4 linked regions of the Elephas maximus indicus genome follow. The protein of the gene in region 2 interacts with the protein of the main gene of each other region in a pairwise test. Links are inferred from orthologs where the notes say so. Each region holds a gene or a part of one and is shown on either strand. Other genes may lie near its edges. The genes, in order: TNFAIP8, SDCBP, FTL and LZTFL1.

Region 1 (7,841 bases), on a different chromosome or scaffold from region 2:
TGCAAGAGCACTTAAAGAAAAAAAAAAAAAAAAAGGTTCACTTTATAGGACAGGGATAAGGCAATGGCTCAAAGTGGAAAACGTGCTGAGGATTATCTTCAGAATGGAGATCATTCACTCATCCTACAAATGCTGAATGAGCACCTCTTACCGTGTAGGTGTTGGAGCTACAGTGGGGGATAAAACAGACATGATTTCCATCAAAAACTTGTGGTCTAGAGGAGAAGACGTGTTAAACAAGGTAACATATAATTAAAAAATGTGGTGGATACCAGAGATGAAAGAACCGGTGCAGTAAGAGAGGGCAACAGATATCCTAGTTTAGGTTGGAGGCTCAGGGAAAGCTTCTCCAAGGAGCTGTCCAGTAAAAGGGGGTGAGGTAGAGAAGGATATTCCTGCCAGAAAGAAGAGCCAAGTACCAAGGCCCTGAAGTGAGGAGCTTGAGCATGTCTGTTTGCAGAAGGGAAGAAGCCAGAAAAGACAAAGGGCCAACTGATGCGGTAAGGGGCGTAGGGATTAGGGAGGAGCTGGTGAAAGGAGTGGCCTTCTGCAGAAGGTGCAACACCTGTTCCACAAACATCAAGGGGTGAGTATGGGTGACAGTGAGTCTGTCAGTCTGGGAGGAGAAAGCTGAGGGAGTTGTCTATTTGGTACTATTTTCTTTGTGAAACAGCAGGCCTGGTGAGGCATGAGAGAACAGGGAGAGGTGGTGCCTGGGAACGGCTACTATGGGCAATAGAGAACTGAACTTACTCACTGCTCAACCCTTACTCTTTTCCTACCTTCAAGTCTTCAAAAAGCAACCCCTCCTGACAATGGCTTCCTTGCTTTATGATACCACAGATATAATGACCAGGACCAAGGAGCTCTGGTTCTCAGCACCAGAAATGTCCTCAGATCTTAACTGTCATTCATTTTTACTATTTCACAATTAAGTAGCTTTACTCAACAGGAAGCGACTAAATGCTAAAAATGTGGCCATTGGCCTATCTCCTCAGGAAGCACCATCCTCTGGAAACTGTTGACATCCTCCTTTTAACTGTCTTCCCCTTTTTTATTAAATGGGTTTCTTCACGCTCCAGTTTGCTGGCCGCTTCCAAACTTATAACCAGAAAGCTGGGAAACGAAGGAAGATTGTGGATGTTGCTAGATGAATGTACAGTACATATTTCAGGATACTGTTGTCTGCTGTCTCCCCACTCTCTCTTTACCAAGAGAGGAAAAATATACCTGGGAGAATACTCCCATTTAAGTGCTACTTGCCATTCATACAAAAGTTGACCGTTGGATTTTCTCAGCTCAGTTCCTATTTGCCTTCAACTACTTTTGCCTTACTCTGAACTGTAGGTATAAAGACTCAGAAAAGAAAAGCGTCCACTAGCACGGAGCTCCATCAAGACGGAGGCCACAGCAAAGAAACATTCATCCACCAAGCCCCACACCAAGCTCGAAAACAATGCTCCTGGCTGTCATTTTTCATTCATGCTAGCCCCATATTCCTATTAACCAAGCTTCCTTTTTATTGACTATTTCCCTCACACAGCATAACAAAGTAAATGTCAGCCCACAGAGGCTACATTATGAAACACAGAGTCTTACTTACACAGAAAGTAAGTAAGAGACCAAAGGGAACAAGTTTCAAGTGCCCTCCCTACGTGATGTCTACCAAATGGAGAAGTGATGGGGCTCCTTCCTGCTCCTGGCCCTGCAGGAGCCCCAGTGATTGACTTAAAATTTATCAGCTTCTCAAGAGGCTGTTTGAAAAGAAAAGGAATTTCACAATCTTGAACAGTCTCCCCCTCTTACTCTGTTTTCCCCAATCACCCCCACCATCACAAGAGGACTTTTGTATACATAAAATTTCAGGAAACAAAGCATACAAACACTCACACACAAATAAACTCCCCAGACTAACACCAGCGTATAATTGTGTTTGGGTTGGAACTTTTCCAGCCCTGTCACCCGTTCTCTGTTAGGAGTAAATGAAACCCTTTGCTTTGGCAAAGTTAAAAACAGACAAACTCTCCTCAGTTTCAAGCTGCACAAGGCTCCCCTCATATCTCTCAGGTCTCCTCGAGTCCCCTGCCCCCCCTAAATGAACTCACAGCTGAAAAACCAGCGGGGGGAGGGGGCGAAAAGAAAAAGAAAATCCCATTCCCCAAATAAAGTCCTTTTCACGTCTTCCCCTTTCGTCAGCTTCTCCTCTCGGCCGGAAACACGTTTTCGATTTCTGAAACCCCTTTTCAAGGGACCCACAACTCTCCGGGCTCTTCGAAGAGATCCAGTTTTCCGCTGTCCTGATGCAGGCAGGCAGCCCTTTCACACATTTTGCATTCTTCGAGTCAATACTCGGGCTGTTTTGTTCCCAGAGAAATCTAAAAAGCAGCCTTTTGTGGGTTTTTCCTCCCTTCCCCTCTGTACGGCTGCCTGGTGACAACGGAGCCGAGATGGGTATCTGGCTCCGCATGTCCATCTCCAACCTGGCTGCGAAGGCACAGGGATCGGACAAAGTACCTATAGCACTTAAAACTCCCATCCATTTCCCAACTCTCCCTTCCTCCACATTCCTCAGCAAAACTTGGCCCGCCCCGAGAGAAACCACAATCGTACCTTCCTTGGATTCCTCTGCTTCGGAGTGCATGGTGTCAGGGTAACCGGCTGCAGAGGCGATTACCGTAGACATGTACTCGGAGGAGCTGCAAGTTCGCTCTGCAGCCAAAACTTACAGTCGCACCCAACAGAAAATAAAAGGAAGGAAAGTCACTTAAATCAAAACCTCCCCGGGGCGGGAGGGCTGGTTCTGGTGCAGGGATTTTCAGGGGGAAAGTTCTGCAACAGTGACGAATCGCGTCTCGGCTGGGTGGCGGGAGCCGCCCCCGGGGCTGCGCGCCGGGCCCCGTCGCTGGGCGGAGACAACCTGGCGCGGCTGGGTCGGCCTGGGCGCACGCAGGTGGGGCTGCGGCCAGGACCACAGCCCGATGACGCCCAAGAGGCAGGGCCAGGGGCGCCAGTCCACAAACGACAAACATAAATGAAATCGGCTGCGCTAGAGAAAGAGACATGCGATAAAGGGATAACAAGTCTCAGTGCTAGCTGCAGTTTTACATAAAAAAAAATATATATATATATATATATCTACACGCAGCAAATGAAGTGCTTCTGCATCTTTGGGTTACATTTTTCGACGCCCATCTGACTTCCCTTGTCTTGGGTCTTACATGCCAAAAATGATAGATTTTAAAGCTGCTCGGTTGCATTCATGATTTGCAAAAGAAAGTAATGCGGATGTTGTCGACGGGGACCTAAGGACCAGCTTCACAAGGAACTGGGAGCCAGCCCAAGAGCAGGTCTTTAGAACGTCGGGGGGCCTGCGATCCTTACCTTTGTACAGAAAATGCAGATGGGACCGCTTGCTCAGCATAGCCCCTGGCAAGCATTCTTACCCAGACCCCAACCAGGCAGTAGTAATTGCTCAGCAGTTACACTAAATGGTGGCCTTCACATAAAGCACCATACCCATACCTTCTTGCGCACTAGCAACTAGTGATACACTGCTTCAAAACGCCAGAGGCGGCGGTGCGGGGGTGCGGGGTGTGGCGGCGATTCAAGCCTTAGAAACGCTGATGGAATAAAGAGGATAAAGAGCCTTGAGAACCGATCTTAGTCCCGCCCCGGGGTCCGGCCCACCGAAAAGTCAGCTTAGCTTTTGGAACCTCGGTTTTCCATTTGAGAACCGGGGACAATAGCTGCCACCGAAATACCTGTCATATGGGGAAGCGTTTTGTAGCAGAGCAGTGGTTTTATTACCAACCTAAGGCAAACAGTCCTCAAATTACATATCTGAAAGATCGCTTTGGAAATTGTGAGCAGAGTCATATTCTTTTAATAAATTTAATTTCCAGACGCTTTTTTTTCTCAAAAAAAAAAAAGAGTAGAGGCACTAAGGTAAATTTAGTGAAAAGAATAGACGAACGATACGGATTCAAAGACTGAATTAAAGTTTAGTTCTGCCATTTATTATTTGTATCACCTTAAGTAAAGAGGATCTCTGAGCCTCCATTTCCTCAGTTGTAAAATGAGGATAAAAATAGTATTATTACTTACTTCACGGATTTATGCTTGGTATTAAATAAGGTAATACAGGTTATTTGAAAAACATAAAGGACTACAGGGTTTAACGCTAACTACTGCACTGCAACGGTTAAACCCTGGGCTGCTAACCAAAAGGCTGTTGTTTGAATCCACCCAGCAGCTCTGCAGGAGAAAGACCTGGCAATCTGCTTCTGTAAAGATTTCAGCCAAGAAACCCCTATTAGCCACCCCCCCAAAACAAAACAAAAAACCCGTTGCCTTGGATCTATTCCAACTCACAGCAACCCTATAGGACAGGGTAGAACTGCTCCATAGCGTTTCCAAGGAGCAGGTGGTGGATTCGAACTGCTGACCTTTTGGTTAGCAGCCAAGCTCTTAACCACTGCACCACCAAAAAAAAAAAAAAAAAAAAACCACCAAACCCAGGGGTGCGAAAACCCTATAGGGCAGTTCTATTTTGTCATATAGGGTCACTAGGAGTCGAAACTGACAACACTGCAGCACTAGAAGTTAATTTTTTATAACAGATGTTAGGTGCCTTCGCGTGGGCTCCAACTCATGGCAACCTTATCTACACCAGAACAAAATGTTGCTGTCTTTGTGTCATCTTTATGACCGCTGGTACGTTTGAGTCCATTGTTGTAGCAACTGTGTCACTCCCTTTGAGGGTTTCCCTTGTTTTCACTAACTCTCTACTTTACCAACCACGATGTCCTTTTCTAGCGATTGGTCTTTCCTGATGACATGTCCAAAGTAAGTAAGCTGAAGTCTCGTTGTCACGTAAAAGACGCTCAAGTTTTATTTCAGTATAAATTACTATTGGATTTGAACTGAAAAGAGTGTTTATGCTATTCACAAGCAGTGAAGGTTATTATAAATACTGACATGAGGCCTAGATATTGCTGAGTGATTCTAACAGGCCTAAGACTCTAAGCAAAACTTTATCTCAAATTCTCTGAAAAAAAGCAGGATGATGAGAAGAGGGCTAACTAGCCAGAGAAGAGAGAAGAAGAGAAACATCTGGAAAATATCAGTATTCCAGAGCCTCCCGGAAACTGGCCTTGCCATCAAAGGCTAACAGGCCCCCCTTTCTGCAAGTGGCAGTTAGCTGCATAGTCCCCTCTGCCAGACATCCTGAGTCAGGGGCTGCTAAGATGTATACCTTGCACTCAGTACCCTCAGACCTATGGGGGAGACATGATTCCTACCTGAGCTGAGACTCATTCTGAACACAAAGCAATACCTCTCCAGCAAGGCCTGCCAGTCAGAAGTGGCCTTTCTTGTCCTACCCTCATGCATCTGCCTTTGCCCTCCCTACCTCAGTTCAGATGTCCTTGAGCAGCCCTTCAAGATCCCACCAGGGCTGTGTGCTACACAGATAAATAGCTTCCACTGATCCATAATTAGTTTAATACTGAAAACTGGTTCAAGGTGATGATTATGCAAATTTCAAAAACAAAAACTTGATGCCCTGGAGTTGAAATTTAAACAACTAAAATTTCACACCTGATCCACCCCCCAGGCAGGCTTCGCTTCTATTCTCTCCTTTTAGAAAGTACCCCCATAAACCAAAAAACTAAACCCAGTGCTGTCGAGTCGATTCCGACTCAATAGTGACCCTATAGGACAGAGTAGAACTGCCCCACAGAGTTTCCAAAGAGCGCCTGGCGGATTCAAACTGCTGACCCTTTGGTTAGCAGCTGTAGCACTTAACCACTATGCCACCAGGGTTTCCAGTATCTCCATAAGAAGTATTTATTAAATGTCCTTTTTGCAAGTCCAATGTGTACCCCCATAAGAAGTATTTATTAAATGTCCTTTTCCAAGTCCAATGTGCCCAAACCACATTAGCTGTGTTAAAATAAATGCTGTAATCTCCCTGTCTCAGCTGTTTTGCTTGCTTTACACTAGGTTCACAAAAAGATCTCCAGCCCTTCTCAGGTTAGCCAAGGAGAACACCTGCTGAATGAACAGTTCCAGCGCCAAGTCAGCCTTGTAATTCAATTTACTGTCATTTTAACAGGTCAGCTGAGCTTTGAACATTCATCAACAATCCTTAGGAAACCTACAGAAAAACTTCTTTTGTATTTAAATACAATCTAGCAGTCACCTTGAGGAAGAATGTCCTTATCTAGCTCAAGAGCAATGAATGCTCAGCTTATTTTAAAAGATTATGTGTGGATAAGGACACTCCTCTGTTGTCAGATATAACCTCAAAGCCATCTGCCACAGGCAAACTATACTGCTCCATGCTCCCACCCCTCAAAAGATGCCAAAGGGCAGCTCATTCTCTTTCCTTACTCTTCTGATTTATACTAGGTTGGCCATTTCATCTTGACTTTGCAGTGTTTTTATTCAAAAGGGTGTTATTTTTTAGCCCCAGTGAATAGTGGTTCACTACATTGTAAAAGATTTGTATCTCTTATAGATGGGACCTGTTCACTCTAGTATGTACAAGAAACATGCCAACATCATTCATCTAGCAGTATGTTTGGAAGTCATACCAACAATGTATTATGGACTGCCTGATACAAGATAATAAATAAGTTAGCAACACTTCTCATTTAATACCAAGCTGCATTAAATACTGTATTGAACTCTTACTCATTTCTTACAAGCAATCTCCAGCAACACTTCTCATTTAATACCAAGCTGCATTAAATACTGTATTGAACTCTTACTCATTTCTTACAAGCAATCTCCTACCTTCTGTATCAAAATGGGAGAGTTAAAATGCTGCCTAAGACTCTGATGGTTTCTATTATCAAAAATGTACATGTGTCACACATGTAAATAAGACCTGCTGACCTGGAGCATACTGATCTAAAGAATCCAACCTTCCAAGTCTTCTTGGCTCCCAGGAAAGTTTCAACACTATCTCTCAAATAAACTTTATCACATGGGAACAGAAAAATCTCCTCTGAAATTACATCTCAATAACTAGTTGCTATGGAGTTTTGACTCATGGCAACCTCGTGTGTGTCAAGAGTAGAACTCTGCTCCACAGGGTTTCCAATGGCTGATTTTTCGGAAGTAAACTGTCAGGCCTTTATTCAGAGGCATCTCTGGGTGGACTCAAACCTCTACCCTTGTACTTCACAGGCTAGCACATTAACTGTTTGTATCACACAGGATTCCATACCTCAACAAAACTGTTAAAAAAAAAAAAAGCATGGGCCTTTGGGCCTTTTGCTCACACATACCCAGGAGTCTGCTAAGAAGAGGGGAGGACAGCGAGTTTTCAAGACAACACATGAGAAGACCAGCAGAACTGGGAAGCAGGAGGTGAGGTTGATTTTGACAGTATCACGTACTCTGCTTATACTCACGAATGTTATAATTTCTCCACAGTGAAAAGAACTAAGCATCTCTGTAAACTAGTTATATATGCCTGTGGCTTCTAGGTCATAGGAACCTCAGGTCACAAAAGCCGTCATATCATCAATATTTTATTTCTACACTGCTGATATGAGGATAAATCTGTACATACAAAATGTAGGTCAGGGGAAAGAAAAGAGTTCTTAGTATAAAAAGTGGTTTTCTTCTATCTGATTTTGAGGCTTTCCTCATCTTTTCCTGTATTATTTACTTTTTTTTTTTTTTTAATACCCTTGAAAGTCTTATACGACTTCCATGACCTAATAAAGGTGGCTTTAGATCTTTCTCCTCACATGTGGGAAGGATTTGTGCTTTGAGCCTGGTTAGGGCTGTAGACTCTGCATTTCTCCTATCATCCTCAGACACTCTCT
Region 2 (7,790 bases):
GGTGTACCTTGAATCCATCTCTTTTGAGATATAAAACAAATTAAAAAAGCTAATAGAGGAGATGGGGGAAGAGAAATGCCAAGCCACACAAAGATCTCGAAAGAAAAGAAGCTGAAGAGACAAAGACCCTTCTCCAGAGCTGACAAGAGAGAGAAAGCCTTCCCCTAGAGCTGGCACCCTGAATTCAGACTTCCAGCCTTCTAAACCGTGAGAAAAAAAAATTGTTTGTTAAAGCCATCTACTTGTGGCATTTCTGTCATAGCAGAACTAGATAACTAAGAGGTGTCAAGGAACACACTCTGATAAAGTCCTTTACGGCCTGCCAGGGCAATGTTTCTCAAACTTGGCTAATCATCAGAATTACCTGGGGCACTAGTTAAAAACAGTCTCCCAGGCTGACACAGATTTAGTAAATGAAAAACTTCATGGAAGGACGTAGGAACTTGTCTTTTTAATAAATATCCAGGGAGATTCTGATGATTAACTGCTGAGAAATTACGGCCACACTGAAGTCTACTCTGAGTACAATAATTTCTTCTTACCCATATGATTTGGACTGGCAAAAATTCAGAGTTTGACAATACACTGACAGTAAGGGAGAAACACTCTCAAACATTACTAGTGGAAGTGTAAACTAGTACAGCCTCTGTCAGTATCCATCAAAACTATAAATGCCGATACGCTCCACCCAGCAATATCCATTCAGGTTTTCAGTCTACAACACACTTGAGCATGAAGACACTAGAAGAAGAGCAGCACAGTGTAGAGCAATGTATATAGTATGCTAACATTGGTACTGAAAGGAAGGGGAAAGTATACTTAAACACGCTTTCTTACAGAGGTATGAACTATACCTGGATGGATACCTAAGAAACTTTTAAAAGTTGGTTGCCTACAAGACGGGAAAATGGTTGGCAAGGGGACACAGATGGACGAAGACTTCATACCTTTTTTAGTTAAATTTTGAACCAAGTGACTGCATTTCTTTCTCAAAAAAGTAAATAAACCTACACACAAAAAAAGTTGGCAACACTTATAAATAAATTAATAAATGCTAGTACCCTGGTGGCGTAGTGGTTAAGTGCTACAGATGCTAATCAAAGGTCAGCAGTTCAAATCCACCAGGCGCTCCTTGGGAACTCTATGGGGGCAGTTCTACTCTGTCCCATAGGGTCGCTATAAGTCAGAATCAACTGGACAGCAATGGGTTTGGTTTTTTTGGCTTAATATAACTAGGGAGTCCCTGGGTAGTGCAAAAGATTAACATACACAGCTTCTAACCAAAAGGCTGTCCGGTGAAGTCCACCTAGAGGCACGTTAAAAGAAAGCCCTGGCGATCGATTTCAGTAAAATCAGCCATTGAAAATCCTATGGAGCACAGCTCTACTCTAACACTCACGAGGTCGCCAGGAGTCAGAGTCATTGTGAAGGCAACTGAAGGAGCCCTGCTGGTTGCAGTGGTTAAGAGTTCAGCTGCTAACCAAAAGGTCAGCAATTCGAGTCCACCAGTGGCTCCCTGGAAACCCTGTGTGGCAGCTCTACCCTGTCCTATGCGGTCACTACGAGTCAGAATCGACTCCACGGCAACGAAGAGATGTAAAAAATATTTTAAAGTTGTATGGCGTAGCCTCTTTTTAGAAACTCCGGGCATTTACTCCCCCCCAAAATGTGCCTAATTTTTGGGGAAAAAAAAGTTGAGTCTCGCTCATTTTAAGGAACTATTTTACTGAACAGTACATTTAAGTGCCAACTCTTGCTAAATTCAGCCGCTTTTGGTCAATGATTTTTATATCCTCTCTCATAACGCCCAAAATAGAAAAATTAATGCTGCCAAAGTTAAGCTGGGATCACAATTGAATAATTACTTCCTGAAGCTTTTAAAAGTTGTTCGCTTTCTTATTTTTATTCTGTGGCACAAACCACTTGACCTCTAATATTTACCTACCCTTCAAAGCACAAAAGCTTACAGAACTAATTTGGAAACAGAGAAAATGAGGCACTCACATTTTGGGCTGTTTGTTCTTAATCTCAAATAGAAAAATGAAAAGATTGGACAAATTTAAGTTTTAACCAATCACTTACATAGATCTGAGGTAAATCTAACTTACAAAGACTGCAGCTGTTTTTCGATGTAATTTTCCTTTCCAATCAACTGTCTCCTTGGAAGCAGTGGATGTTAAAGAGTGTGACAAGCTAAGGGTACTTTCTAAGTAATTACTTTTATAACGGAGAAAATAACAGTAAATTTGCGCGCAGGTAATATATACAGACTACACAGACCTAAAAATTTCCCTCGAAAATCGGCACATTGTAAGACCCCATGATTCAGTAATTCCACTTTGGTGAACAAGAAAACTTTCCAAATCCGTACGTTTCACTTTTTTATTATTACAGTGAAATCCTGAAAGGAAAGCTGTGAGTCACCAGATCTCAAGGGCTATTTCCTTGTGAACACACCCTACCGGCTGCGGCTTCCTTTCGTCCAACTTCTCCAGAAATCAGCGCACAGCCTCTCCCCCATCCCTTCCCGAAAGCCAGGCTTCGCCCACTAAACAAACACCTCCTTCCTCCTCCAAACCCCGGGCTTGCCGACTCCGCCAAGGGCAGATTATGTCCGAGCCAGGAACCGAAGCCCGCGACGGGTCACGAGCAGCGGCTCGCTCTTCACTGGTCCCTGGAGACCTCACCGGGAGGAACAAAAAGGGTCGAGGAGGACCTGGCCGACCCCGAAGGCGCCGCGCCCGCCAACTTCGCCCGGGCCCGGGGCGCGGAAAGGCGCTAAGGGGTGGGCTAAGGGTTTCACCTCCCGGAACCGGGGCCCCGGACGCTCTCCGCTAGGTGCTCGGCGCCGCCGCGCCTCGTCCCCGCGCCCGGACCGCGCGACGGACTCGCCCCGCCCCCAGAGCCGCTCACCTAGGCCCAGGGATCCGCCGCCTGCCGCTTCCTCGGCTCCAGGAACAGACTTCCAGGACCCCAGACGAGCCGCACCGCGAACACCCGAGGAGCCGCCCACAAGCCCGTCACGGCCCGCCCCCGCCTTCCGCCCGCGCAGGCGCGGCGCCGCCGTCAGGTGACCGGTCCCCTTGGTAACGGGCCGACGGCCGGGCGATGCAGGGGCGGTGGGAGGCCGGGGGCGGGGCGATGCAGGGGCGGTGGGAGGCCGGGGGCGGGGCGTCGCGGGGGCGGGGGGAGGCCGGGGGCAGGGCGATGCAGGGGCGGTGGGAGGCCGGGGGCGGGGCGTCGCGGGGGCGGGGCGATGCAGGGGCGGTGGGAGGCCGGGGGCGGGGCGTCGCGGGGGCGGTGGGAGGCCGGGGGCGGGGCGATGCAGGGGCGGTGGGAGGCCGGGGGCGGGGCGTCGCGATGCAGGGGCGGTGGGAGGCCGGGGGCGGGGCCTCGCGGCGGCCTGCTGATCCCCACAAGGTCCGCCGGCCGCCGGCGGTTCTGCGCGCCTCCTCTTTCCCCCCGTTTGCTGTTGATGCCCAAGGCCCTTGCGTCAAGGGACAGATGCCGCCCCCTCGCTACTGCGCTTCTCTCCGCTCCCTTGGTTCCCGTCGCCTCCAATAGAAAGAGGCTTGGGGGCCCCACGCGTCCCCCATTTCCCGGCCAGCCCACGCCCTCCTCGCCGCCGCCCAGCCCTCTCTCCCCGCCGCGTCGCTCCGCCCGCAGGCTCGGAAGCGGTCCTCTCACTCCCGCGTCCCCACTGCTGCCGCTCTTCTGCTGCGCTGCTCGCTGTGGCATTTGTTACTCTTGGCTCACCTGAGCTAACGTCCGCTGGCTGATGCGGGCATGTGTGGTACCGCGCAAAAGTCATAACTGTATCCTAACACGAAAACAGAATGAAAACAATGCTTATTATACGCCAGGCACCGTTATAAGAACTTCATGTATATGGTCTTACTTGGTCCTTAACGTGGAGTCCCGGTTAAGACAAAACCTCAAACAGTTATGCATCAGGATAAGCTTTTTCTTTGCTTGGCTTCTTCCCCCAGTGTTGCATTAAAATCCTTGTTTCATTCGCTTGCCTTCCGCCCCCACGACTTTGCGTTAAAATCCTTCTTTGCTTAGAAGTTGTATGTAAACCCAATTGCGCCTGCGTAGTGTGATTAAGAATGTTGCCGACTTAATTTGTATGAACTCCCTACTTTTAAACCCCTTAAAAGTAACTTCTCCCCTCGGCTTCAGAGAAGAGTCTTAGTGGCAGCAGCTGCGACTGACTCCTTTTCCTGGCGCAAGGAAATAAAGTTTGCCTTCTTGCTCTCCCACCTCGATCTCTCATTTATCGGCAAATTCAACTCATGCCAAACAGAGCCTGGGGTTTCCACGTGGTAACATTTCAGCGCAGGGTTAAAGCAGTCCACTGCTAACAGAAAGATCAGCGGTTTGAAAGCACCAAAGATACGGCAGTCTGCTTCCCTAGAGATTTATAACCTTGGAAACCGTATAGCATTAACTTTGAGTTAGAACCGGCTCTCAGCAATGGGTTTGTTGTTTCCCCCTCCCCTAGGGTCCTTAACATCAATCTATGAGGTAGACAAGAACATACCTCTTTTAAGGAGGACACAACTGAGGCACAGGTTATCTGCGAGCATCTAATCATAGTTACCGTAGATGTACTCTACTCCAATATGAATTCTTGACAAGCAGTTCTTCTAGTTAAATTATTTCATGCCACTGTATTAAAACTGATAAAAATCAGGATAATAATAAATGACAAGGTGGAAAATTTAGTCCTCAGGGAGCTATGGTATAGCTGATAAAATAAACCCCAAACCCATTGCCATCAAGTCGATTCCAACTCATATCAACCCTATAGGACAGAGTAGAACTGCCCCATAGAGATTCCAAGGAGCGCCTGGGGGATGAGAACTGCCGACCTTCTGGCTAGCAGCCATCATACTTAACCACTATGCCACCAGGGTTTCCAGCTGATAAAACAGACATTAAAAAATAATTACACAAATAGAGTCGTGGTGGGTGTTTGAAGAAGTTCAGGGGACTATGAAAGATATTGCAAGGAAACCAACATTAGTCTAGGAGTTCAAGGAAAGCTCCCTTGAAGATGTGGCTTTTAAGCTGACGAATAAAAATTAGCCAAGTGACAAATGGAGGAAAGTGTTCGAGGTAAAGGGAATAGCACTTGCAAAGGGAAGTTGAAATGAAACTTGATTCCTTCCGGGAGCTGAAAGGCCCTTGTGGCAACACAGGGTAAGAGAAGGAATGGCATCAGATGAAGCTGGACAAGTAGGCAGGACCTTACAGAAGCTAATGAAAAAGATCACTCTGGGCTGCTTAGAGGATGGACCGGATGTGAGGACAAGCCCTGGACGTGGGAAGGTCCTGTAGGAGACTACTGCAGTGATGTAGATACAACCATTACGGTGCAAATGGAGAAAAGCAGAAAACCTCAAGAAATACTAGGACAAAGACACAGTAAGACTTGGTGGTTGATGGAATGTGGATTAAATGTGCTGGCACGTTTGCTGAGGTGAGGCACACTGAAATGAGCAGATATAGGAGCTAAGAAGAGTAGAAACTTAAAGGAAGCTTCTAGCATGAAATATAGAAATCAAAACAAATAGAAAAAAAAAGGAAATGGGATGAAACAGATAAAAAAACCAATATAAAAAAATCTATCAGTATTTTCAGAGATAAACAAAATAGTACATGCATGAAAGAGGAACACGATGATATTTGCAAGGAACATTCAAAACCTTATGTTTAAATGTCTATATTTTACAGGAAAGTATAAAAAATTCATAGAAAGTTTGGAAGATAAAGTCAGTGAAATCTTTTAGAAACCAAAATCAAGGAGACGGGAAATAGAAGAGAAATATCAAGATCAAGGATCAGTCCAGGAGGTGCAACATCCAAAATGCAGAAGAGAAACTAAAGAAAAAATAAACAAGTAATGCAAGACTGTCACGAGGACTGGAGGACAGGTGCCTCCTGACTGACAGCATGCACTGAGTTCCTAAAACAATTAATTTTTAAAAAGACTCACACAAAAGCACATCACTGTGAAATTTTAGAACATTAGAGATAAAGAATAGGTCCTTATAGTTAATAAGGTTAAAAAAAAAAAAAAAGTCTTATACTCAGGACCGGAGTTCCGAATGGCATGCAATTTCTCAACAGAAATACCTGAAGCTAGAAGACAATGAGCAATGCCTTCAAAAGTAAAGGGAAAAATGATTTCTAACCTAAAAGTCTATACTGATCCAAAGTATATCATCAAAGTGTAAGGATAGAATGAAGGCATTTTCATATATATGAAGGATTAAAAATTTACCTCTATTTCGGATTAAATTGTGTCCCCCTAAATGTGTTATGGATTAAATTGTATCCCCTCTAAAATATGTGCTGGAATCCTAACCCATGTACCTGTGGGTATAATCCTGTTTGGAAATATGGTTTTCTTTTTTATGTTAATTAGGTCATACCCAAACTGGATGGGTCCTGAATCTTATCACTTATGACTTATAAAAAGAGCAAAGAGATATGCACGTGGGGGAGGGTGTCTTGGTGGAGACAGAAACCATATGAGAATTGTCTACAAGTCAAGGGACCAAGGATTGCCTGGTCCCCCCTACAAGGAAGGCATCCACACAGCCAAGACTTCTAGCCCCCAGAACTGTAAGAAAATAAATTTCTGTTCTTTAAAGCCACCTACTTGTGGTATTTCTGTTGCAGCACTAGGAAACAAAAACAACCTCTCATGAGCTATTGCTCAGGAACTTAATGGAGCATTTGCTCCACCAAAATAAGAATACAAGAAAAAGGAAAATGGGGAGGAGGGGAGGTTCCCACAACACAGGGACTCCAGTGCAAGAGGAGGCAAAAGGAGAGAGAGGATGATGTTAAAAGGCGATCCCACGATGACCACCACACAAGAAGCTTAACAAGCAACCATACTGACTGGAACTGGAACTGGATGACGGATGTTCTAGGAGGAGCCGCTCCAAGAAGAGTCATATGTTTGAGCAAAGTGAGGAATTCACGCACTGGTAGAGTGGGGGATGAATTAATGATAAGAACTTAGAGTACACAGCACTGGGGAAAAAACAAGGGAGATTGTAATCATAGAACTCTATGGTTCACCTTTGAATAATATTTGCATAGATGTAATAAGATAAACATAATACCAGTTTAAGCCCTATGATCATAGGTTAGCTACTAACACTAATGTAGTTATTTCTCAGAACATCTTACTTTCCTCAGGACTTTCAGTGGTCTGGTACAAAACTATATCCACAAATAAGAATATAACCTATCTAACAATTCCCATGGATCCCCTGGGTGGTGCAAATGGGTAACACACTCAGCTGCTAACTGAAAGGTTGAAGGTTTGAATCTACCCAGAGGCACCTTGGAAGACAGGCCTGGCGATCTACTGCTGAAAAATCAGCCATTGAAAAATCTATGGAGCACAGTTCTACTCTGACATACATGGGGTTGCCATGAGTTGGAATTAACTGGATGGCAACTGGTTTACTGGTTAACAATTACCACAGCAGGATACAACTAACCAAAGAACTTACTGCACGCAAAAGTCTAATGTTCCACGTTACCCTCGAAGTACAAAGGAAAACAACAAAACAAAAACAAAAGCAAAACAGTTGCCCTCCAGTGCATGACGACCCATGTGTGTCACAGTAGAACTGTGCTCCCTCCACAGGGTTTTCAATGGCCGATTTTTTGAAGTAGATCGCCAAGCCTTTCTTCTGAGGTGCATCTCCGTGGATTCAAATTTCAGGTCTTTTGGTTAGTAGCCAGTGCTTCACCATTTCTGC
Region 3 (6,244 bases), on a different chromosome or scaffold from region 2:
CAATAGTTTTCAAGGCTGTGACCTTTCAGAAGCAGATATCCAGGCCCATCTTCCAAGACATCCCTGGGTAGGCTCAAACCACTGACCTTTCAGCTAGTAGTTGAGCAGCTAACTGTGTCGTAAATTTCCCCATATAATGAGGATAATTATTTCATCTACCCCCAAGGATTGAGCCAGAGATAGTAGCTGTTTAAGAGGTTGGCACAGAGCCTGGCCCCATAATTGCTCATTAAGCAACACCTGTTTCTAATTACTTTTACTCCCTGTAACAATGCCTGGGTCTGCCACCAAACCCTCCCTGGAGTCTGGGCTCTACCATCAAGGAGAGAAAGTTAACAGCCAAGGCAAACAGAACTGAAGCTACCCCGTACACAACCCCCTGGAAAAAGTCCTGCCTTAGAATATAAGATAATGAAAGATAGGGCCCCCTCTCCCTGCCAGCACAGCCTGAAGACCTGTGAAAACAGATTATAACTCCTTTTCCACACCATACACACAACACCAGTAGCTGCTGCAAAAAGCTTTATTGTTTCCATTTGGTCCACGGCTTGGGAGAGGGCCCTCCAGGGTGGTTCAGATGCTGCCTAAAAGCTAAAGGGAGAAATTCAGGCAAAAGCCTGATGAGGACAGAAGATTGCAGAGGGGCCCTCACAGGAGGCTCTGGAGGCTCCTAGTCATGCTTGAGGGTGAGCCTCTCAAAGAGATACTCGCCCAGCCCAGCCTGGGGCCCGGCCAGCCTGCGGATGTTGGTCAGGTGGTCGCCTATCTTCTTGATGAGTTTCACCTCCTCATCTAGGAAATGTCTCTCCAGAAAGTCACAGAGCTGAGGAATATGAAAGGAGAAATAAGAAACGCAGTTCCTGAGAAAGAGGGAGGCAAATGTGGTCCTCAGAAAGCAATCTGCCCAGTAAATCAAAGAAGAAAGCAAGCTCAGACTGTAAGGTTAAACGCCAGGGAAGGTCTGAGGAGGGGCTGCAACGGATGAAGGCGGTACCTACATGCGGGTCTGCCTGGGCAGAAGCCACCACGTGCAGATCCAGAAAGGCCTGGTTCAGGGTCTTCTCCAGGGCCAGGGCAGCTTCCATGGCGTCCAGGGTATTACCCCACTCATCTTGGGACGGCTTCTGTACAAGAAAAAGACGACTCACAACTATTCACACATCTGGCAAACACCTAAAACCTACATTTCCCAGAAGTCCCTGAGGATAATGGACCTAGCCTGCAAGGATGCTTGATCTATCACGCCAAGCCTCCTACAACTTTGCCTCCCATGAGACCACCCAGTAGCCTGGCCGGCCACTACTTGGGAAAGCACCTTTACTTCGCCCAAAAACAAACCCAGACAGGATCGAACCCAATCTCCTAAGAATCCGCTACAGCGCCTACAGAGCAGCTGTCCAAATGCCTTGTGCGGAAGGCCTGCTGGGAGATGTAGTCCGTGGCCCACACGCCACTTACCTGCACATCCTGGAAGAGGGCGCGGCCGCCACGCTGGTTCTGCAGCTTCAAAAGAGTCTCGGCACCCTCGCGCTTCTCCTTCGACAGCTCGCGGAAGAAGTGTCCCACGCCTTCCAAGGCCACATCGTCGCGGTCGAAGTAGAAGCCCTGCGGGAGGTAGAGGGAACAAAGGTTAATGGAAGGCGAGGCCAGGCGAAGGACTCCGCCCTCTGCTATCCAACGGGACAAAGAAGGTCCGCGCGTGCGCACAGGGCCGGAGGTGCGCAGCTAGGGAAAACATGGGCCGGGGACGTCTCGGGGACCCTTACCAGAGAGAGGTAGGTGTAGGAAGCCCGCAGATGCAGGTTGACAAGGCGGTTGACGCCGGCCTCCGCTTCAGCGGAATAATTCTGACTGATCTGAGAGCTCATGGTTCGTCGACGATTAGGAGCTAACTACAAAAAACGGTGTTAGCTGGTCCTGGAAACAGGGGATGGCCAAGAAGATGGTCCCAGAGGTTGCGCGTAGGAGACGAGGTTGAAAGGTAGCGCGAAGCTGGAGGTAGGGCGTCCCCGGGTCTGCTCCGTCCAAGCACTGTTGAAGCAAGAAACAGATCCACGGGACCACCGAGCGAGCTTAAGGAAGGTGGGGGCCAGGGCGGCGTGTTTTATAGCATGCGGCTCCTCGCAGGCGGGGCTTCAGGGCGATCTGTCGACCAGTCCGCGGTGGCGGGAGGCGGGACTTGAGCCCGCGCCTGACCAATCCAGAACAGATAGGCGCCTCCCCCCTTCCCCCCAGCCCCCCCGGGGTTGGGGAGTCACGCGCTTGGAGCGTGAGACTGTTGTGAAATGGGAATGCGGGGAGGAAGTGGGTGCTAGGCGGGTTCGGTGGGTGCAGGGTCCTGGGGCTTATTCGCAAAGTCGGGGGATTCTGGGGGCAGCTCTGGAAGATGGGAGGTTTATGGGAACACTGGGGAGCCCTGGGCGGTGATGATCCTGGGGTCTTGGGGATGTTTCAGGGAAGTAGGATTCTGGGCTTGTCTCTGAAAGCATGGACTCTTTTAGAACCCTGGGGCTTCCTTAGAGGTGCAGGGGGGGTTGCTTGTGGAAGATAAGGGGTTTCCCGGTCATTAGGAAATTTGGAAGGCCCCAAGAAGAGTATTTCTGGAACCCTGGGGGTCTCGCTTCGCAATGAGCCGGAATCGACTCGATGGCACTGGGTTTTGGGTGGGGGTCTCGCTGGGTTGTGGGATAGGAGAGCTGTTTCCCTAGTGTTTACCCAAAAGTGGAAGGTCTCTCTAGCTTTAGAGTTGGATCTAAGAAGTCTGTTTCTTTGGAGGCCTTTCTTGGAAGCTGGGGGAGGTCTCTAGGGCCTTCAGAGGAATCTGCAAGTTGTGAAAAGCAGTGGTTTTGGAGCCTTGGGGTTCAAGGGCTGGGGTGTTTCTGGAAATCTAGGCACTATTTTAATTCGAATCCACCTGGCAGGCAGGTGAAAAACCTGGTGGTCTGCTCCCCGCAAACATTAAAAAAAAAACCAAACCCATTACTGTTAAGTCCATTTTGAGTCATATCTACCCTATAGGACAGGGTAGAACTGCCCCATAGGGTTTCCAAGGCTGTAATCCTTATGGAAGCAGATGGCCAGGTATTTCTCCCACAGAGTGGCTAGTGGGTTCTAACCACTAACCTTTCATTTAGCAGCCAAGCACTTTAACCACTGTGCCAACAGGGCTCACATAGGTTCACTATGTTTTGAAATTGAGTCAATGACACTTAACAGGAACAGGGACTTTTTGAGAGGTAGGGGGACTCAGGAACCCTCAAGAGCTCTTGGAATCTTGGAAGAATTGTCTGGGCTTTCAGGATACCTTGGGGCTATTTTAAGGGATGGCGAGATTACATCTCACATACTTTGGGCGTGTTATCAGGGGGGATCAGTCCCTGGAGAAAGACATCATGCTTGGTGAAGTAGAGGGTCATCGAAAAAGAGGAAGACCCTTAAGGACATGGATTGACACAATGGCTGCAACAATGGGCTTAAGCATAAGGATTGTGAGGATGGCACAGGACCAGGCAGTGTTCTATTCTGTTGTACACAGGGTTGCTATGAGTTGGAAGCAACTGGATGGCACCTAAAAACAAAACAGCAGTGTTTTTCTGGATGCTGAGATTGGGGTGTGTGTAGGAAATAACGTTAGAGCCTTGGGGGGGGGGTCTCTTGGGCTGCATTTCCTGGGAACTATTTTGGAGGCTAGGAGGCTTGGTGGCTCGGTGGTTAAGTGCTCAGCTGCTAACCGCAAAGTCTGTGGTGGAACCCACCATCCCCTTGTTGGAAGAAAGATGTGGCAGTCTACTTTTGTAAAGATTTACAGCCTTGGAAACCCTATGGGGCAGTTTTACTCTGTCCTATAGGGTCGCTGTGAGTCAGAATCGACTTGATCGTATTGGGTTTCTTTGTTTTGGAGGCAGTCTAAAGACTGTGGAAATTCTCTCTGGCCCTGAAGGGACCTCTCAGAGGTAGTTGGGTGTCCAGCCCAATATGCACTACTTCAGGGTCTCTCGGGAAACTAGGAGAGCCTGGGGACCTAGGAGGAGACTGTCTTCATTGTACATACATTTTTTTAAGTGAGCCAGGCTCATACTGGGACTGGGAAGGCAGAGCTGACTCAAAGCAGGGCCCTGCCCTCAAGGAGCTCCCTGTTGAGTACCATCAAGACAGGTTTTGACTCATGGCGACCTCAAGTGATAGAGTACGACTGCCCTATAGGGCTTTCCAGGCTGTAATATTTATGAAAGCAGGGTCTTTCTCCTACGGAACTGCTGGGTGGGTTTGAAAGGCTGACCTTTCTGTTCGCAGCCAGACGCTTAATCACTGCCCAACCAAGTCTCCTGGTTGTGTAGAGGAGGAAGGTACAAAGACAGCAACTGGACCCTAGATGAGTCGGTAATGGAGGTAGCTCATGTGGCATAGGAACAGAAGTCACAGGGGAGGGGTAAGAGGTCAGGTCTGCTTGGCAGAGCAGCCACGCCAGCCAGTGCAGGCGGGGTAGCCCTTCACCCAGGGGATCTGTGGATGCCAAGGCTGGGCCAGTATCTGGGGTCCCTAAGGGGCGTGTATAGGAGCCCTGGTGGCACAGTGGTTAAAGAGCTCACCTGCTAACCAAAAGGTGATCCCTGAGTCAGAAGTGACGCTACAGCAATGGGTTTGGTTTTGGTGTTAAGGAGCCCTGGTGGCACAAAGTTTAAGTACTTGGCTCGTAACCCAAAGGTCAGCAATTCAAACCCACCCAGCAGCTCTGTGAAAGAAAGACCGGGCAATATACTCCCATAAAGATCTAAAGATCATAGCCTAGAAAACCCTATGGGACAGTTCTACTCTGTAATATGGGGGTAGTTATGAGTTGAAATTGAGTCCTCGGCACCCAACAACAAAGGCCGTCTGGGTGAGTGGCTATGCTGAGTCATGGTGAGCTCGGCACAGGAAGGGGACCAGGACTGAGGTGGGAGGGCCCCCCTCCCCTGACCTCATCCCCTCAGGGCCAGCTGCAATTGGTCTGACTGAGACCCTCAGAACCAGGCCTGTGGCCCCCTCCCCCAAGATGTTTTTGTTTCCACGTCATACTTTATCTCAGTTCCCTTATGTCTTTCCTGGAGATTCTTCCTGTGGCCATAGCGTTCCCTCTCTCTGGGTCAGGGGCTCAGTCTCAGCTCATATATCTCCGACATTTCTCACCTGACTTGGTGTCTGGCTTGGACTTAGTGTCTCTGGGGAGAGCACATGGGGGAGGGGGGAGGGTAAGTGACCTGAGCCACCTAGTTAGTCAGGCCTAGTTATTGATTGACCAGTTGTCATTCCTCAGCCTAAAGACCTTTAGCCCCAGGCAAGCCCCACCTATGGAAAGGGGATTTTGAAAGTGTCCACAAGTGGAGGGAAAGGAGGGGCTGAGACAGAGAGGATCAGAAGAGGGGTAGAGACCATAGGTTGCAGGAGAGAAAGAAACAGAGAGTGAGGGGGCAGAAACCCAAGTGTGAGGGACACAGAAGCCTAGAGAGAGAGGAACAGAGACCTAGAGAAGGGGAAAAGATCCAGAGAGGGGGGGACAGAGACCAGAAAGGGAGAGACCCAAGAGGGGGACAGAGTTCCAGAGAGGGGAACAGAGACCCAGAGAGAGATGGGGACAGAGACCGGGGTCGGGGGGAGAGACCCAGAGAGAGAGGGGAACAGAGACCCAGAGAGAGAGGGGAACAGAGACCCAGAGAGAAGGGTACAGAGACCCAGAGGGGGGACAGAGACTCAGAGAGGGGGAAAGAGACCTGGGGGGGACCAAGACACAGAAGAAGGGGGACAGAGACATGGGGAGGGGGACAGATACTCAGGACAGAGACCCAGAGAAAGAGAGAGGGGGACAGAGACATGGGGGTGGGGGGCACAGATACTCAAGAGAGAAAGAGAGGGGGACAGAAACTCAGAGAGGCAGGGGAAAGAGACCTGGGGGAGGGACCAAGACCCAGAGAGGGAGAAACAGAGATAGAGAGAGAAAGACAGAGACCCAGGGAGAGGGGGACAGAAGCCTAGAGAAAGGGGGACAGAGACCCAAAGAGAGAAAGGGGGGCAGAGACCTAGAAAGAGAGGGGCACAGAGACCCACAGAGAGTGGGGGAAAGAGACCTGGGGGGACAGGGACCCAGAGAGAGAAGGATCGAGACCCAGAGAGAGAAGAGGAAAGAGACCCAGGGCAGGGGGGCAGATAGACAGGGATACAGAGACCCAGAGAGGGGTAGGCAGAGACTCAGAGAGGGTGAGAGAGA
Region 4 (7,223 bases), on a different chromosome or scaffold from region 2:
CCAACCACTAAGGCCAAAGATGAAGAAATTGAAGATTTTTACCAACTTCTGCAGTCTGAAATTGATCAAACATGCAATCAAGATACATTGATAATTACTGGTGATTGGAATGCAAAAGTTGGAAACAAAGAAGGATCAGTACTTTGAAAATATGGCCTTGGTGACAGAAATGTTGCCGGAGATCACACGATAGAATTTTGCAATACCAATGACTTCTTCATTGCAAATACCTTTTTCAACAATGTAAACGGTGACTATACATGGGGACCTCACCAGATGGAATACACAGGAATCAAATCAACTACATCTGTGGAAAGAGATGATGGAAAAGCTCAATATCATCAGGCAGAATAAGGCCAGGGGCCGACTGCGGAACAGACCCTCAACTGTTCGTACGAAAGTTCCAGCTGAAGCTGAAGAAAATTAAAGCAAGTCCACATGAGCCAAAATACAACCTTGATTATATCCCACCTGAATTTAGAGACCATCTCAAGAATAGATTTGGCACATTGAACATTAATGACCAAAGACCAGACGATTTGTAGAATGACATCAAGGACATCATACAAGAAGAAAATACAAAGTCATTAAAAAGATGGGAAAGAAATAAAAGCCCAAAATAGATGTCAGAAGAGACTCTGAAACTTGCTTTTGAACATTGAGTAGCTAAAGCGAATGGAAGAAATGATGAAGTAAAAGAGCTGAACAGAAGATTTCAAAGGGCAGCTCAAGGAGAAAAAGTAAAGTATTATGATGACATGTGCAAAGAGCTGGGGATAGAAAACCAAAAGGGAAGAACAGGCTTAGCATTTCTCAGCTGAAAGAACTGGAAAAAACAAAAAATTCAAGCCTCGAGTTGCAATACTGAAGGATTCTATGGGGAAAATATTAAACAACTCAGGAAGCATCAAAAGAAGATGGAAGGAATACAAAGAGTCACTGTAACAAAAAGAATTGGTTGATGTTCAACCACTTCAGGAGGCAGAATATGATCAAGAACCAATGGTATTGAAGAAAGAAGTCCAATCTGCACGAAAAGCATTGGCAAAAGACAAGCCTCCAGGAATTGATGGAATACCAACTGAGATGTTTCAACAAACAGATGCAGCCTAAGAGGTGCTCATTCACTTATGTCAAGAAATTTGGAAAACAGCTACCTGGCCAATCGACTGGAAGAGATCTATATTTGTGCCCCTTCCAAAGAAAGGTGATCTAACTGAATGTAGAAATTATCGAACAATATCATTAATATCACACACTAGTAAAATTTTCCTGAAGATCATTCAAAAGTGGTTGCAGCAATGCAACCACAGGGAACTGCCAGAAGTTCAAGACAGATTCAGAAGAGGACCTGGAATGAGGGATACCGTTGCTGATGTCAGATGGATCCTGACTGAAAGCAGAGAACACCAGAAAGATGTTTACCTGTGTTTTACTGACTATGCAAAGGCATTTGACTGTGTGGATCATAACAAATTAGGGATAGCATTGCGAGAGTGGGAATTCCAAAACACTTAATTGTGTTCGTGAGGTGCCTGTACATAGACCAAGAGGCAGTCGTTTGAAGAGAACAAGGGGATACCGCATGGTTTCAAGTCGAGAAAGGTGTGTGTTAGGTTTACATCCTTTCGCCATACCTATTCAATCTGTATGCTGAGCAAATAAGCCAAGAAGCTGGACTATATGAAGAAGACCGTGGCATCAGGATTGAAGGAAGACTCATTCAGAGCCTGCCATATGCAGATGACACAATGCTGCTTGCTGAAAGTGAAGAGGCCTTGAAGCACTTACTGATGAAAATCAAAGACTTCAGCCTTCAATATGTATTGCACCTCAACATCAAGAAAACAAAAAAATCTCACAACTGGACCAATAAACAACATCATGATAAACGGAGAAAAGACTGAAGTTGTCAAGGATTTAGTTTTACTTGATCCACAATCAATGCCCATAAAAGCAGCAGTCAAGAAATCAGACAACTTATTGTGTTGGGCAAATCTGCTGCAAAAGACCTTTTTAAAGTGTTAAAAAGCAAAGATGTCACTTTAAGGACTAAGGTGTGCCTGACCCAAGCCATGGGATTTTCAATCACCTCATAGGTTGATTTTCAATCAACTCATAGGGTTGCTATGAGTCGGAATCACTCGTCGGCAGTGGTTTTTCATAGGCACGCAAAAGCTGAACAATGAGTAAGGAAGACCAAAGAAGAATTGATACCTTTGAATTATGGTGTTGGTGAAGAATATTGAATATACCATGGACTTCCAGAAGAACAAACAAGTCTCTCTTGGAAGAAGTACAACCAAAATTCCCCTTAGAAGCAAGGATGGTGAGACTTCATCACATACACTTTGGACATGTTATCAGGAGGGATCAGGTCCTGAAGAAGGACATAATGGTTGGTAAAGTAGAGGGTCAGTGAAAAAGAGGAAGACCTTCAATGAGATGGATTGACACGTGGCTGCAACAATGGGCTCGAGTACAACAACGATTGTGAGCATGGTGCAGGACGGAACAGCGTTTCATTCTGTTGTGTATAGGATCACTGTAAGTCAGAACTGACCCGACAGCACCTAACAACAAAAACATGGCACTGAACTCAACTTTTTAGCTTACCCATTGCCTTCAGAGATCAGATCTGGTGGACGTTTTTGTCTTCTGAGCCTGCTGAAATGCCCACTCAATGGACTTTGCCCACCCAGCTCCAAGCCTCTGCTACTTATAATAATCTGTCAGGTCCTACACCTTGGCCTTTCTAGCGCAGCATTTCTTAACGAGCGGATTGTGATCACTCCTGGAAGGTCAGTAAAAACTGTAGATTCCAAGGTCCCAAATTAGACTTCAGGGGGCATCAGATTTCTGGGATGAGGCGAAGGAAGATATTTATTCAGCAAACTTCCCTGATAATTCTGGGCATAATAATTTGAAAATCCGGCTCTCTGTGAAACTGACACCATTTGTGGTTTTTCTTTTTCTTTCTTTTGCTTGTTTTTAGGAAAGTGGTGAATTATGGGTCCAATTGTGTCCCCAAAAAATGTGTTTTGTAAATTCTAACCCCTATCGACTTGATGGCAACGGTTGTTTTTTGTTTTTTGCTTTTAACGTACCTGTGGTTATAATCCCATTTGGGAATGAGTTTTGTTATGTTAATGTGGGAGTACTAGCATAGGGTGGGTTTTAAATCAATCTCTTTTGTGATATGAAAAGAGCAGGCTACGCAAGCAAGCAAGCAGAAATGAGGCGGATACATGGCACATGATCGCCAAGGAATTTAGAAATAGAAGCTGAAAAGAGACAAACAGAGCCTTCTAGAGCCAGCACCCTGAATTCAGAGACCTGGTTGTGCAGTGGTTAAGTGCTCGGCTAACTGAAAGTTTGGTTCTTCGAACGCACCAGTCGCTCCTAGGGAAAAAGATGTGGCAGTCTGCTTCTGTAAGGATGTACAGCCTTGGAGACTCTATGGGACAATTCTACTCTGTCCTATAGGGTCGCTGTGAGTCGGAATCAGCTAGATGGTAGTGGTTTTTAGCCTCCTAAACTGTGAGAAAATAAATTTCTGTTGTTAAAGCCACCCACTTGTGGTATTTGTTGTAGCATCCCTAAATAATTGAGAAAACCAAACCAAACCCGTTGGGTGGAGTGGATTCCGACTCATAACGACCCTATAGGACAGAGTAGAACTACCCCATAGAGTTTCCAAGGTGCGCCTGGTGGATTCGAACTGCTGACCTTTTAGTTAGCAGCCGTAGTACTTAACCACTATGCCACCAGGGATTCCAGATAACTAAGACACGGTGGTAAATTAGAGATTTTGTAGCAGGGCTGTGAGAAGAAAAATGCTGGGCAAGGATAGGGGAGGGTCGTTCAAAGCTCAGGCCTCTATCCAGGACCCTGGCAGGGCTGGGGATGTCTGCCACCATGGGGGCGCCAGGCGGCGGGAAATGTGCCACAAAACCTCAGTCCAGAACAGGAGGGAGGATGAAGGATACCCGAGCTCATCAGGGCCCCAGGCCTCGCCTCTCTTCCCGTTACCCTTGGCAACAGCCGCCGGCTCCCAAAGGTAGCGTGGCATGAAAAGGCGGGACTTCCTCCTCTGGAAGCGAATGCGCATGCGGCAGTGCGCTCGTCACGCCGTACTTCCTGTCGCGTGATCTTGAATGCCAATGAGAATGCAAAACTTCAAGACCACGTGCTCCGTTTCTAATAGCAACAGGAGGCTTCCAAACAACCCGCCTTCCCCTCACTTTTATTTGTGGTCCAGCCACCCTGGACGATCCCGGGTTCGGCCTTTCCTGCTTCCGGAAGCTGGTGACTCCAGCCCGCTGCCATGGTGAGTAGCCCACCCGCTAGCGCCGCATCGCGCCAAGGAGAGAGCTGCGGCTGGGGCTGGAGGCGCGGAGCGGGTGGGCCCCGAGCGATGGCATGGCCAGTGGCGGGTCTGAGTCCCGTTTCCGGGCCTCTGCGAGTACGGAGGCTGTGACAGGCACGGGGGAGGAAGGGATCGGCTAACCTCGGCCGAAGCCCGTTCGGAATAATCCTGGCTGAAGCCTTCTCCAGCAGCCTCGGTCCGCAGCGTCGCCTGGTTCCTGGCTTCTGCTGGGGGACCCGGGCCAAGTCGCGCTTCGCAGGTGACGGGTGAAGAGGGCTGAAGGAAACCGCTGCCAGCAGAAGGCCCAGGGCGGGATTCGCACTCCACTCCGATGATGCTCCAAGTTGTTGTTCTCTTTCTCTGTCTTACACACATGCACACACACACAGCACCCCCACCCCCGTACCCACCTTCCTTTGGTTGCATAAACAAGTTAACTAGCCGAGTAGGAAGAAAGTGATTGAATCCAACTTTCCACCCATTTTGCAGCTGAGGAAACAGGTGATGTTTCCGTTGTTGCAGTCCGTTCAGAAAAGACCACTTTTTCTTGTATGCCGCTAATCCACATATCCCACTTATTCCCCCAGCGGATAAGCGTGCCAGTTTAAATAGCACTCAGAAAGAGCAATGCACAGTACCGATGTGTTCAGAAGAAGGGGTGGAACCAGGGTTGGGGGCACCACTTAAACGGGCTACTGAAATATCCCCTCAGCAACCAGAATTCTATTGAGCTCATCTACTTTCAAAGCAAGGCGCTCTGGTGGCGCAATGGTTAAGCACCGGGCTGCTAACTGAAAGGTTGAGGGTTTGAACCCACCAGCGGCTCTGCTGGAGAAAGGGCCTGGAGATCTCCTGCAAAAATTACAGCCTGGGAAACCCTGTGGGGCAGTTCTACTTTGTCACATGGAGCCACTGTGGGTTTCAGTCGACTGGATGGTACACAACAACACTGACTAGGAGCTGAATGTAAAGCTGTGAACAAAACAGACTACTGCATACTCTCCTTGAGCTTAGTGCCTGTTCCACTCATTCTCTTGATTTCCCCAAAATATCATGAGAAAAAGTGTAAAAAAATGATGACGTTAGAACAAATTTACATCTGTTCCTTTCTGTCTTCTCTCATCCCTTTCCACTAACAACAGGCTCGGTTTTTTCCTTAGTAAACCGCAGATGATAATAATTACACAAGGGTTGTTTAAACAACAAGATCATGCATATACAATAAAGAGCACAGTACCTGTAAAAATGTTAAGCACTCAGTGTATGGTAGGTTTATTACTCTATGCTCATTTTTATCATTACAGTTTCTTCCTTTTCATTGTGAAATTGTATCTGGCTTTGTGGGTATGGTTCAGAGCAGGAGACCCCCCTGCCACCATCACCACTTCTTAACACAATTTCAAGACACTAACTTCCTGCTCTGATGGGATTTCTTGCTCTATTTTCAGCTCTTTCTGATAATTTAATAAAACATTTCTGCAACAACATTTTTAAAAATTCTGATTTTCCTGTTTGGATACCTCCCATTGTTTCTAAATATTTTAGAGCTGACCATATCTCTCTTTCATTTAACAAATGAGGAAACTGGTGTTGGGGAGGTGAAGTGACATGGTGATGGCCACACAGGTAGATAGTTATGGAACTAGCCTTAAACCTGGCTTTTAACCCAGTGCTTTAGCTCGCATCAGCCTCTTCCTTTTTCTCTCATAATGACCTGAACCCTGTGCACATACGGGGAAGCAAGATTTGTGAATGGCCTCTTCCTAGACTAATGCTGTTTTTCCTACTGAACTCAGCTGTCCATTTCTGCTCCCTTCCCTTGTTCTTATTTATTTTAGAGGGACTTCTCTGTCCTTTGTCATAAATTTTATCTTTCTCGGTTTGAGTAAGTTCTTTTTCTTCTTGGTCCTGACTGAACCTGTTGCCATCAAGTCAATTCTGACTCATATCCACCCTATAGGACAGAGTAGAACTGCCGCATAGAGTTTCCAAGGAGCGCCTGGTAGATTCAAACTGCTGACTTTTTAGTTAGCAGCCATAGCACTTAACTGCTATGCCACCAGGGTTTTCCTAGGACTGGTAACTGTCCTTGGCAAGAGAAAATAATTAACCGATAGGATTTGGCCGTGTACTCTGCACAAGGCACTGTGCTGGGTGCTGCGGGGTGCAAGTGATGACTCCAGGCCTCACAAAGCTTACCATCTAGTTGGAGCAGCAACACCTGGAAAAAAGCGCACAGATAACTAATAGTACAAGTCCTCATCCGTCTGTGGTGGTGCCAGATAAGTAGCAGAGATCAGTGTTTTTGAAGGAAGGCATGACTAGAGCTACTGGGGTGGGTTGGGAGGCTTCACAGAGTAGGGAGAACAGATTAGGCCGCGAAGGCTGGGGAGGAAGTCAGTGGTGGAAGGGAGCATGCCGGCAGCTGGTGAGAGTCAGTTGTCTGCCTCCCTTCTCAGCTCAGCATCGGTCACATCACACACTGGGAGTAGTCACACTAGGAAAACCAGCAAGTGCCACAAATCGGAGCTCCTCCTCCCACCCCCTCAGTGAACCAGATATTCAACATTTGCCAGCACACCACTGGGTAGGATTCAGAGTCTCAAATAGGAATGGAGAGGCATTTTTAAGCAAGGATCAGGGTAACATGAGTACAAGTCGAGGCAGGAAATTTTAAGTTGTGTTTCAACGCTGATAAGCAGACTGGTTTGGCTAAAGTTGAGTGTTTATATAGTAGAATCCTGGGCAACAGGGTTAGAGAAAGTTTCGAGGTGTCGGGGGCTGAAGATTGTAGATTTAATGCTATAGGCAATGAAGAATGATTGAAAATTTGCATTTTGTGGTTTACATTTTT

Evidence for each region.
Region 1: the proteins of SDCBP (region 2) and TNFAIP8 interact in binary tests that used the Homo sapiens proteins (3 or more experiments, as listed by UniProt). The two-hybrid records come from large-scale screens. The link is inferred for Elephas maximus indicus from reciprocal best matches to the Homo sapiens genes SDCBP and TNFAIP8.
Region 3: the proteins of SDCBP (region 2) and FTL interact in binary tests that used the Homo sapiens proteins (3 or more experiments, as listed by UniProt). The two-hybrid records come from large-scale screens. The link is inferred for Elephas maximus indicus from reciprocal best matches to the Homo sapiens genes SDCBP and FTL.
Region 4: the proteins of SDCBP (region 2) and LZTFL1 interact in binary tests that used the Homo sapiens proteins (3 or more experiments, as listed by UniProt). The two-hybrid records come from large-scale screens. The link is inferred for Elephas maximus indicus from reciprocal best matches to the Homo sapiens genes SDCBP and LZTFL1.

The regions. Positions count from the first base shown.
Region 1 is NC_064820.1:139,564,506-139,572,346, forward strand, and holds the start of TNFAIP8 (tumor necrosis factor alpha-induced protein 8), read right to left. Parts: upstream 3,012-7,841; 5' UTR 2,684-3,011; coding exon 2,611-2,683; intron 1-2,610. UniProt on the Homo sapiens protein: Acts as a negative mediator of apoptosis and may play a role in tumor progression.
Region 2 is NC_064833.1:85,377,139-85,384,928, forward strand, and holds the start of SDCBP (syntenin-1), read right to left. Parts: upstream 3,007-7,790; 5' UTR 2,914-3,006; intron 1-2,913. UniProt on the Homo sapiens protein: Multifunctional adapter protein involved in diverse array of functions including trafficking of transmembrane proteins, neuro and immunomodulation, exosome biogenesis, and tumorigenesis.
Region 3 is NC_064829.1:99,378,022-99,384,265, reverse strand, and holds FTL (ferritin light chain), read right to left. Parts: upstream 2,089-6,244; 5' UTR 1,869-2,088; coding exon 1,767-1,868; intron 1,606-1,766; coding exon 1,459-1,605; intron 1,125-1,458; coding exon 999-1,124; intron 824-998; coding exon 671-823; 3' UTR 510-670; downstream 1-509.
Region 4 is NC_064838.1:50,174,718-50,181,940, reverse strand, and holds the start of LZTFL1 (leucine zipper transcription factor-like protein 1), read left to right. Parts: upstream 1-4,208; 5' UTR 4,209-4,327; coding exon 4,328-4,330; intron 4,331-7,223. UniProt on the Homo sapiens protein: Regulates ciliary localization of the BBSome complex. Together with the BBSome complex, controls SMO ciliary trafficking and contributes to the sonic hedgehog (SHH) pathway regulation. May play a role in neurite outgrowth. May have tumor suppressor function.